2 linked regions of the Arabidopsis thaliana genome follow. The protein of the gene in region 1 interacts with the protein of each later gene in a pairwise test. Each region holds a gene or a part of one and is shown on either strand. Other genes may lie near its edges.

The links. The genes of interacting proteins can lie anywhere in the genome.
Region 2: the proteins of AT3G10040 (region 1) and RAP2.12 interact in a two-hybrid assay, tested with the Arabidopsis thaliana proteins (one study listed by BioGRID).

What each region holds. Positions count from the first base shown.
Region 1 is NC_003074.8:3,095,232-3,100,981, reverse strand, and holds AT3G10040 (sequence-specific DNA binding transcription factor), read left to right. Parts: upstream 1-2,564; 5' UTR 2,565-3,106; coding exon 3,107-4,402; 3' UTR 4,403-4,637; downstream 4,638-5,750. Other genes in the region: OMR1 (L-O-methylthreonine resistant 1), read left to right, coding at 24-293, 441-647, 740-988, 1,067-1,137, 1,222-1,339, 1,458-1,592, 1,678-1,818.
Region 2 is NC_003070.9:20,133,289-20,138,242, forward strand, and holds RAP2.12 (uncharacterized protein), read left to right. Parts: upstream 1-1,555; 5' UTR 1,556-1,953; coding exon 1,954-2,248; intron 2,249-2,511; coding exon 2,512-3,293; 3' UTR 3,294-3,725; downstream 3,726-4,954. Other genes in the region: GLIP5 (GDSL-motif lipase 5), read left to right, coding at 4,437-4,737, 4,827-4,951. UniProt on the Arabidopsis thaliana protein: Transcription factor involved in the activation of hypoxic gene expression and in ethylene response. Partially redundant with RAP2-2. Acts as a downstream regulator in the ethylene signaling pathway.

The sequences.
Region 1 (5,750 bases):
TGGTGTTCTGGGATTGAAAACAGTGGCAAGCTGTAGAGAATTTGGGTGCAACGGTTGTTCTTTTCGGAGATTCGTATGATCAAGCACAAGCACATGCTAAGATACGAGCTGAAGAAGAGGGTCTGACGTTTATACCTCCTTTTGATCACCCTGATGTTATTGCTGGACAAGGGACTGTTGGGATGGAGATCACTCGTCAGGCTAAGGGTCCATTGCATGCTATATTTGTGCCAGTTGGTGGTGGTGGTTTAATAGCTGGTATTGCTGCTTATGTGAAGAGGGTTTCTCCCGAGGTACTCTTTTTGCTGTGACTGCTTTGGCAATGTCACCTTCTGTTCTGTTGTTGTTAATAACAGCTACTTGTGACAAAATCCAGAATTTTAATTAAGAAATGAGTTCCTTCAGCTTCTGTTTCTTATTGTGACTTTTGGGTTATGCAGGTGAAGATCATTGGTGTAGAACCAGCTGACGCAAATGCAATGGCTTTGTCGCTGCATCACGGTGAGAGGGTGATATTGGACCAGGTTGGGGGATTTGCAGATGGTGTAGCAGTTAAAGAAGTTGGTGAAGAGACTTTTCGTATAAGCAGAAATCTAATGGATGGTGTTGTTCTTGTCACTCGTGATGCTATTTGTGCATCAATAAAGGTATGGTACTATCCTTGATACGTTATCCCTTGTCAGACGGTGTTTGGCATATGCATACTGAATTGTAGATAATCAGATACTTGTCTCTACAGGATATGTTTGAGGAGAAACGGAACATATTGGAACCAGCAGGGGCTCTTGCACTCGCTGGAGCTGAGGCATACTGTAAATATTATGGCCTAAAGGACGTGAATGTCGTAGCCATAACCAGTGGCGCTAACATGAACTTTGACAAGCTAAGGATTGTGACAGAACTCGCCAATGTCGGTAGGCAACAGGAAGCTGTTCTTGCTACTCTCATGCCGGAAAAACCTGGAAGCTTTAAGCAATTTTGTGAGCTGGTGTGTGTTTGGTATTATAGCATATAGTAGTTAATCACATTACAGAGTGTATGTAAGACAAAACATTAATGGGTGCAGGTTGGACCAATGAACATAAGCGAGTTCAAATATAGATGTAGCTCGGAAAAGGAGGCTGTTGTACTATACAGGTAAGGCCATTCCTGAAAAATTCCTTCCTTCCCGAGTAGTTTATTCATCCTCTAATCTGCAAAATTTTGTAAATTGTTGTATAGTGTCGGAGTTCACACAGCTGGAGAGCTCAAAGCACTACAGAAGAGAATGGAATCTTCTCAACTCAAAACTGTCAATCTCACTACCAGTGACTTAGTGAAAGATCACCTGCGTTACTTGGTGCGTCCTTGATTGATTTCTCTCTGTGCTTATTTCTCCTTTAGGATTACTAGATTTCCAATTCATTCCCATTGGTTGATGCAAAGTTGTCATGTGAATCACACTTTATACATATCAGATGGGAGGAAGATCTACTGTTGGAGACGAGGTTCTATGCCGATTCACCTTTCCCGAGAGACCTGGTGCTCTAATGAACTTCTTGGACTCTTTCAGTCCACGGTGGAACATCACCCTTTTCCATTACCGTGGACAGGTTTGTTTCCCATTTCACCATAAAAATGTTTTAATGGAACTTCGAGTCTCCTCCTTACTATACAATCTTCCTTCTTTCAAAAAAGGGTGAGACGGGCGCGAATGTGCTGGTCGGGATCCAAGTCCCCGAGCAAGAAATGGAGGAATTTAAAAACCGAGCTAAAGCTCTTGGATACGACTACTTCTTAGTAAGTGATGACGACTATTTTAAGCTTCTGATGCACTGAGTTTGAAGCTGTGGTGGATAATCCAAATCTCAGGAAGAAGAAGAACCCATGAGAGTCTTCCTCGTGATCATGGTTGTTCTTGAGATTCTTTAGTCTGTTTTCTCTCGGGTCTGTGTCTGTCGGATGAGCGTTTTAGCCACTGTAGTTCAATGAGTAACCTCTATTTGCTACGAACTCTCATTCCTAGATCGTGGGTTACCTTTTGGTTTCTCCAAGCAATTTGAGGCTAGCCTCCAATAAAAAATAGTATTTCTAGTATTTGAAAAAACGCTACTTTCGTGGTATAGAGAAAGATAAAGAGAGAGAGAGAGAGAGAGAGAGAGAGAGAGAGAGAGAGAGAGAGAGAGAGAGAGAGAGAGATGCTCTTGATATTGCTCTTGATACAACTCTATTATTATTGCTCTTAATCCATAATGAAAGTGCTTTATGAATTGTAATTATATGATGCTTAATTATATGATGGTTAATTGGTAACTGATTTTCAACGAGAAAAAGTGTTTGTCCCTGTATCTAGCTTTCTAACTCGGTTTACAAGCCTAATTTTGTTCTGTTGTGTACCAAATCGATCATTTTTGGTTGTCTCAGTTTAAGATTGGTCTGACTCTCAGTTTAAGGCTGGCAAAAAAGTCACAATCATTACGCGGTTAAACAGTTACTATATTTGGTTGTTTAATCGATGTTTTAAACCGTTTTTCAATAATGATTGATATTTGTTTTATTTTATTGTATGCAGATTTCAGATTTGTATGATATAAATAAAAAAGTTGTGAAATCAAAAAAGCAGATACTGTTTTTCATTTATTTGTGAAAAAATTTAAGAAAAAAATCTTATGAAAAGTTAGGTTGGATTTTTATTATTGGCAGAAAGGTAAAAACAGTGGCCAAAAAAAGGCAGCTCCATTGGTTTTGCCAAAACCAGCCCCTTGGTTTAGGCTTGATTTGTAATCCCAAAAAGGAAACAAAACTTTAAAAACCACAAAACCATGGGCAGTTTTCAGATCATCCCTTTGACGGCTCCCAAAACCACTGCTCTCCTCTCTTCTCTGTATATTACTCTCTTTCTCTTCCTTTGACTCCAATCCCGAAACCACTTCACCAAAAAACATCTTCAACACAAACTAAACAAAACTTAAAAGTAAGAACTCGAAGATACTGTACTTACAAATTCCTGTCGGAATTCTCTTACTTCGTCGGAAATTCGAAATCTGGGTTTGTGGGATTCCGTGTTGATTTATCTACCATTGTTTCCAAGTTTCAATTTTTTATCCAATTTAGGGTTCAGTGTTTGATGGAATCGAATGTGATGTTCTCTGGGTTTAGTCCAAGAATGTTGAGCTTAGAAATGCCGCAAAATCCACCAAATCCCCAAAATTCAATTCAGTTCCAGCATCCTCATCCTTACACCACCTCCGGCGACCAACAAACTCAGCCGCCGATAAAATCCTTATACCCATACGCCTCAAAACCCAAACAAATGTCACCCATTAGCGGTGGCGGTTGCGACGACGAGGATCGCGGGTCGGGTTCCGGATCCGGTTGCAACCCTGAAGACAGCGCGGGAACTGACGGGAAGAGGAAATTGTCACAATGGCATAGAATGAAATGGACGGATACAATGGTTAGGCTTTTGATCATGGCGGTTTTCTACATCGGTGACGAAGCTGGTTTAAACGATCCAGTCGACGCCAAGAAAAAGACCGGCGGTGGCGGTGGCGGCGGAGGAGGAGGAGGGATGTTGCAGAAGAAAGGGAAGTGGAAATCAGTGTCGAGAGCTATGGTGGAGAAAGGTTTCTCTGTGTCACCACAACAATGTGAAGACAAGTTCAATGATTTGAACAAGAGGTACAAGAGAGTTAACGATATTCTTGGTAAAGGAATCGCTTGTCGTGTCGTTGAGAATCAAGGATTGTTAGAGAGTATGGATCATTTGACTCCGAAGTTGAAAGATGAAGTCAAGAAGTTGCTTAATTCTAAGCATCTTTTCTTTAGAGAGATGTGTGCTTATCATAATAGTTGTGGTCATCTTGGTGGTCATGACCAACAACCACCGCAACAGAATCCTATTTCGATTCCGATTCCGAGTCAGCAGCAGAACTGTTTTCACGCGGCGGAAGCAGGGAAAATGGCGAGAATTGCGGAGAGGGTGGAGGTGGAGGAGGAAGTAGAGTCTGATATGGCGGAGGATTCGGAGTCAGAGATGGAGGAATCAGAGGAAGAAGAGACGAGGAAGAAGCGGAGGATATCGACGGCGGTGAAGAGGTTGAGGGAAGAAGCGGCAAGTGTAGTGGAAGATGTTGGGAAGAGTGTGTGGGAGAAGAAAGAGTGGATAAGGAGAAAGATGTTGGAGATTGAGGAGAAGAAGATTGGGTATGAGTGGGAAGGAGTGGAGATGGAGAAGCAGAGAGTGAAGTGGATGAGATATAGGAGCAAGAAAGAGAGAGAGATGGAGAAGGCTAAGCTTGACAATCAGAGACGGAGGCTTGAGACGGAGAGGATGATTCTCATGTTACGGCGGAGTGAAATTGAGTTGAATGAGTTACAGTCTTCGGGTACACGGGTTGACCCGAGTTCCGCTAAGGGGTGATGCTGATTAGTATTTAGGATTAGAGATTTTTTACAACTTTGTAGTTTCTAATGTTAGGATTCTCACGTTTTAGTGACATTAGGCAGTAAATTAAATCTTAAAAGTATGTACTATTGTAGACAAAAGGTCTTTAATCAGCAAATTGATTAAGCATGTCTACTTTTGTAGTTTCAATTTTCGAATAAGGATTCTCTCACGCTGTCAATATTTAAGTGGTTAATTGGTAAAAGTGAGAAGAAATTAATCAATCGTACAAAGGTTAACACACATACTAAGGGAAAAAAAAAATGACACACCCGGTGGGACTCGAACCCACAATCGTTTGATTAGAAGTCAAACGCCTTATCCATTAGGCCACGGGTGCTCTGCTTGCACTAGAGTATTGAGAAAACATTAAGAAACATAATTACAATCAGTAAAACTACCCACGGCCCACGGGCGATCCTCGTTTATTTAAAGAATATATGTTTCTCTATTTAATAATTTACCCTTCAAAGCATCACAATGGAGAGTTTTTCTTCTATTTTTAACCAACTAGAGTTTTGTGTACAAGTAGTTATTAAAGATATAATTCAAGAACTGTTATGATATTTGTAAGAAGAAGAGATTTTCTATTATAAATACTTGAGTGAAAGTTTAGGTAGGTTACACAATGTCAATAATGTGACAAAGATTATTTGAGATGATAGAACACAAAAAAATATCATACCATACCACTATATTCCATTTCCATCTAGTGTTTGAGCAGATATTCTGCTTTGTACATGTTTCTTGCACCTACAATAAGATTCAAAAGTTTAATTAGATACCATTGGAACTATAGCGATAGTTGCAGTTTTCTCTAAAGTTTTCCTATAACATATTTTCGGACATATGGTAGGAGCATCTGGAAGATTATGAGGATCAACAAATAGCGGAAAACAAATTACTGTATACACATTGCTTTCAAAAACCAAACAATCTTCGTCAAATGAATTTTGTAACTTTTGCTGAATATGATACCAAGTGGAGTCCAATGACAAACAATCTCCGGTATGAATTTAGTGTCGTACGTGAAGTATATATAAGTTACAAATCATGTCTTTAGAACAAATGATGGAAAGTGATATATCATATATACAGTGAGACACGATGCGATCAATCAAACGACCAAATTAAAAAAAAAAATTAGTAACATAATTATGACTCGTTGTTATATCTAAAAATGACAGGAAAACATTGGACTAAACCATTTTTTTCAGTTTTAATTGTTGTAACACCTGTTTCCAACGTTTTATATTGATAGTATTAATTATTTTCTTCGTTCACCCGTTACATCAATTGAAAATTGAATTGTTATCATCAAAGG
Region 2 (4,954 bases), on another chromosome or scaffold:
TATGTATGGGAGATATTTTAAATGTATGTGACAGGGACATAGACACTCTTTGGTTGAGAAGATATGAACAACTCATTTAGTCACGTGTTGAATATGTACAGGCCAAAATACTGTATTTTAAACAATTGGAATTATTGTTTTACTTGTCAAGTGATCACTTTGTTCAACCCAATTCCCCAACTAATTTATTGTTTTATAGTGTCACACTGTCACGAGTAACTAAGCAGGTTCGTGGTCTCGGCCCAATTAAAAGGCCAATCAATTAAACTAAATGCAAGTGCCTATAACTCGACCTATGAAGCCCACTATCTTAGCGATTCGGCCCAAAAAGACAACTTGCCTTGTGTAAAATGATTTCACTTTGTATCCATCCAATGATTCCAATTAATGAGAAGTTATGTTCAGATTTAAGAATTCCAGTTAGTGAACAAAAAATCAACTACTGGAATTTGTTTTGCTTCTTATAAATTTGGTTAGAAAAACAAAACATAAGGTTTATATCTATAAACACAAAGAAATTGTACTAATGTACAGTTCCGAAACGAGTATAGTCAATTATTAAAAGTTAAAATAGTGAAACAAATAATTGCTCCATGAATGACATATTGACATCATTATCTGTTTCTTTGAGATAAGCTAATTTAGGAACTTGTCTCAATCCTGTAAAATGATTTGGACCCTACCTATTTTATTCATCTGTCTTTCTTTGCGTTCACAATTTGATCTTAATATATAAATATATAGTACATGATTGCACTAATATATATATATATATATATATATATATATATTATATGTAGTATAACTATACACGTATGAAGTTGAATTTTATAAAATAAAATTTTCTTTTAACTGAATTTCCAATAGTTGTTTATACATAATTTAGAAAGTTGCAACCATAAAATATATTTCACCATAAAACAACAAAATATGGTTTCCACGTACACATACACATAACACATACCTACTGAATATTCCGTAATTTACGATGCCTGATAATTTGGACCTAATAAAGTTAGTTAAGAGTAAACAGAATTACAAGGAAATTTTAAATTGAGTTTAAGAAAACTAGTAATTGATTTGGAATGCTAGTTATCAAACAAAAGGACAAATATATTTTTCGGATTATTTTTAATAACTTTTTTGTTTGTCACGAAACGACAAAAGCTTTGTCATAAAAACCAAATCCTATCAACTTGCTCAAAAAGCTTCAATAATATCGTACGTGTCCTGCACACGCAGATTCATAAATGTGTTTCTATGCTTTTACAATTTTAGCCTTATGCATAACAGCATAAGGTCTTAATGGTCCTCTCTCCTAATCAAAATTACATTCAAAAGTTGTTGTATAGTTTTTCATTATATTTTCAATAATTCATTTATTTTGTGCCTATGTTAAAACATTTTCATAATTCATTTATAATATTATTTAAATTTAAATGTTAAATATCTGTTCTGCGTTGGCTACTCCTGAATGCAAACAACATTGCAAAAGTATTTAGTTGTGTTTTTAATGCCTAATCACATTAATAGATACTAGATCTAAGGGAAATAGACTTTATGAAAAAATCAATTGACGTTAGGTAAAAATTTGTTTAGACTATTTTTGTCTACCAGCAGACAACTCTGACTAAATTTTTAATCTTATTTACTGCAACTAACTATTAATAAACTAATAAAATCCTAATTTACAATATAGATCTACAGTAAATGAATATAAAAGTCTGGTAGTACCGTAAATAGTACATCAAGATAAGGGTATAATAGTAAACAACCATCGTACTCGCTTCATCTTTTATTTTACTCTAAAATCTCTTTCTGAAGAAAACAACAAAGCAAAGCGTTGAAGAGAGAAGAAGAAGCAAAGATATAACCCCCAAAAGTATCAATTAGTTTCCATTTTCGCCGCTAAGATTCTGTTTTCGAACATTTACACCCTCAAGAATCGCCGCCATGTGTGGAGGAGCTATAATATCCGATTTCATTCCACCGCCGAGGTCTCGCCGTGTTACTAGCGAGTTTATTTGGCCGGATCTGAAGAAGAATTTGAAAGGATCGAAGAAAAGCTCGAAGAATCGTTCGAATTTCTTCGATTTTGACGCTGAGTTCGAAGCTGATTTCCAAGGTTTCAAAGATGATTCGTCTATCGATTGCGATGATGATTTCGACGTCGGTGATGTTTTCGCCGATGTGAAACCATTCGTTTTCACTTCGACTCCAAAACCCGCCGTCTCCGCCGCTGCGGAAGGTAAATATTTAGGGATTGACTTTAGTTTGAGCGATTGAATTGGTTAGAAATTAAGTTTCGATTCTATTTAGCTCTGTTCATAGATACCTTTATCTGCTTACGATTTTGATTGTTGTATAAAGCATGAGGTTTGATTTGTGTGATATTTATATGCATATGAGGTTGAGTGATGAGACTTGATTTGTGTGATGAGATTTGATTAGAGATTGTTGATGAGTTATTTATAGAAGAACTCTTTTGTTTTGTTGTTGTTTCACTACTAGGTTCAGTTTTTGGTAAGAAAGTTACTGGCTTGGATGGGGACGCTGAGAAATCTGCAAATAGGAAGAGGAAGAATCAGTACCGAGGGATTAGGCAACGTCCTTGGGGAAAATGGGCTGCTGAGATACGTGATCCAAGGGAAGGTGCTAGAATCTGGCTTGGAACGTTCAAGACAGCTGAGGAAGCTGCTAGAGCTTACGATGCTGCAGCGCGGAGAATCCGTGGATCTAAAGCTAAGGTGAATTTCCCTGAAGAAAACATGAAGGCTAATTCTCAGAAACGCTCTGTGAAGGCTAATCTTCAGAAACCAGTGGCTAAACCTAACCCTAACCCAAGTCCAGCTTTGGTTCAGAACTCGAACATCTCCTTTGAAAATATGTGTTTCATGGAGGAGAAACACCAAGTGAGCAACAACAACAACAACCAGTTTGGGATGACAAACTCCGTTGATGCTGGATGTAATGGGTATCAGTATTTCAGCTCTGACCAGGGTAGTAATTCTTTCGATTGTTCGGAGTTTGGTTGGAGCGATCAAGCTCCGATAACTCCCGACATCTCTTCTGCGGTTATCAACAACAACAACTCAGCTCTGTTCTTTGAGGAAGCCAATCCAGCTAAGAAGCTCAAGTCTATGGATTTCGAGACACCTTACAACAACACTGAATGGGACGCTTCACTGGATTTCCTCAACGAAGATGCTGTAACGACTCAGGACAATGGTGCAAACCCTATGGACCTATGGAGTATTGATGAAATTCATTCCATGATTGGAGGAGTCTTCTGAAGAGATCCAGTTTCATGTAAATAAGGCTGCATGTTTGTGAGTTTCCCGCATCGTTCGTTTATCAACCTCCAAAACTTTCTAATGTCTGTTACTTGCATCTTCTTCTGCTGTCTCTGTCTGTCTCTCTCAGGAGTTCCTGTTTGCATTGCGAGAAGCCATGAGCCTCTATCTTGAGGGTAGTTGTGATGAAGTTAAGTAGAGGCTTATTTTTAGGGGTTGTGGTAGTTTTTGTTTTAGTGAATCTTTTGAATTCGTTTGTGTTTTGTTTTTGTTACTTTATGCCCCAAAACTCCTTTAACATTTGTCATAATGTGTTTGAACCTCTCATCTGTTTAATCAAATAAATCTTCTTTGTATGCTACTAAGAGTATGTGAGAACTGTTGAACATAACAAAGAAGTCACAAGCTAAGTTTGAACCAAACCGGTTCTCGTAAATTTGTGATCAGAAAAAAAGCGGTGATCAACTGATCATCAAAGTGATTGCCTAGAGAAGTGCGCCACTTTTGTTATTTTGTGGTACAATGAATCTAGAGGGAACAAACGTTGAAACGACGACGTTAAACGACAGAAGAATCTCTAAAGGTTGAACTCTCTTTTTGCAAGTGGTAACTGGTGAGTTTGTGTCTTTCTCGTGACCGTTTCCTTATGATAACAGAAAATAAAAGAGAGTAAATTAACTCTTCTGGACAGTTCTGCTTCTTTAGGTCATTTTCACTCTGTATAAATATCTAAGCATTAGCACACATTCTTTATTTTTTACTGAAACATATTTATATGTATTTGGTAATTTAATCTACTGATTTTTCATATAAATTGTTGTTAGTTACCGTATTACTGTCAAAATGTAGCCCAAAATGTAAGTGTCAAGGTGCTTTGAGTTGTGTGATGACAAGTTTGACATAACATTTGGTTTCTCCTATTATTGTGAAGAAATGAAATTATCTTATGGTGATACTTGCATTAATATTACTAATCAAACCATTTGACTTCTTTTCAAAAGTCTTTGTATATAAGTGTGGACACACATTTTATATCATAAATAAATACATAGTCTTGTCGACATGTCTATAAGTTAGATTTAAAAAGCAAATGATTTGGTCTATATAACACACACATCACGAGTCTTTAGAATTTTGTGGTGAATGAGAGAGTCAACTTTAATGGAGAAAGTCACAAGGAGAACTATCTCCTCCTTCATCTTCTTTATCGTCTCTTCTACCATTCTTTTTCTCGCCGGAAAATCCTCGGCCAAAATTTCTCATAACGGTGACAATAATGTGACGGCCTTGTTCCTCTTTGGAGACTCTTTCTTGGATGCAGGAAACAATAATTACATTAACACCACTACACTTGACCAAGCCAATTTTCCACCTTATGGTCAAACATTCTTTGGCCTCCCCACCGGAAGATTCTCCGACGGTCGTCTCATCTCTGATTTCATTGGTGAGAAGATTATATTTCTTATTATTCATATATTAGCTCGTGGTCTTATTTAAAGATATAATATTGACGGAAATGTACGTTAATGATAGCGGAATATGCGAATTTGCCGTTAATTCCGCCGTTTTTGGAACCGGGAAATAGTCAAAAGAAGCTTTACGGCGTCAACTTTGCGTCTGCTGGTGCTGGTGCTCTTGTGGAAACGTTCCAAGGTTCGGTA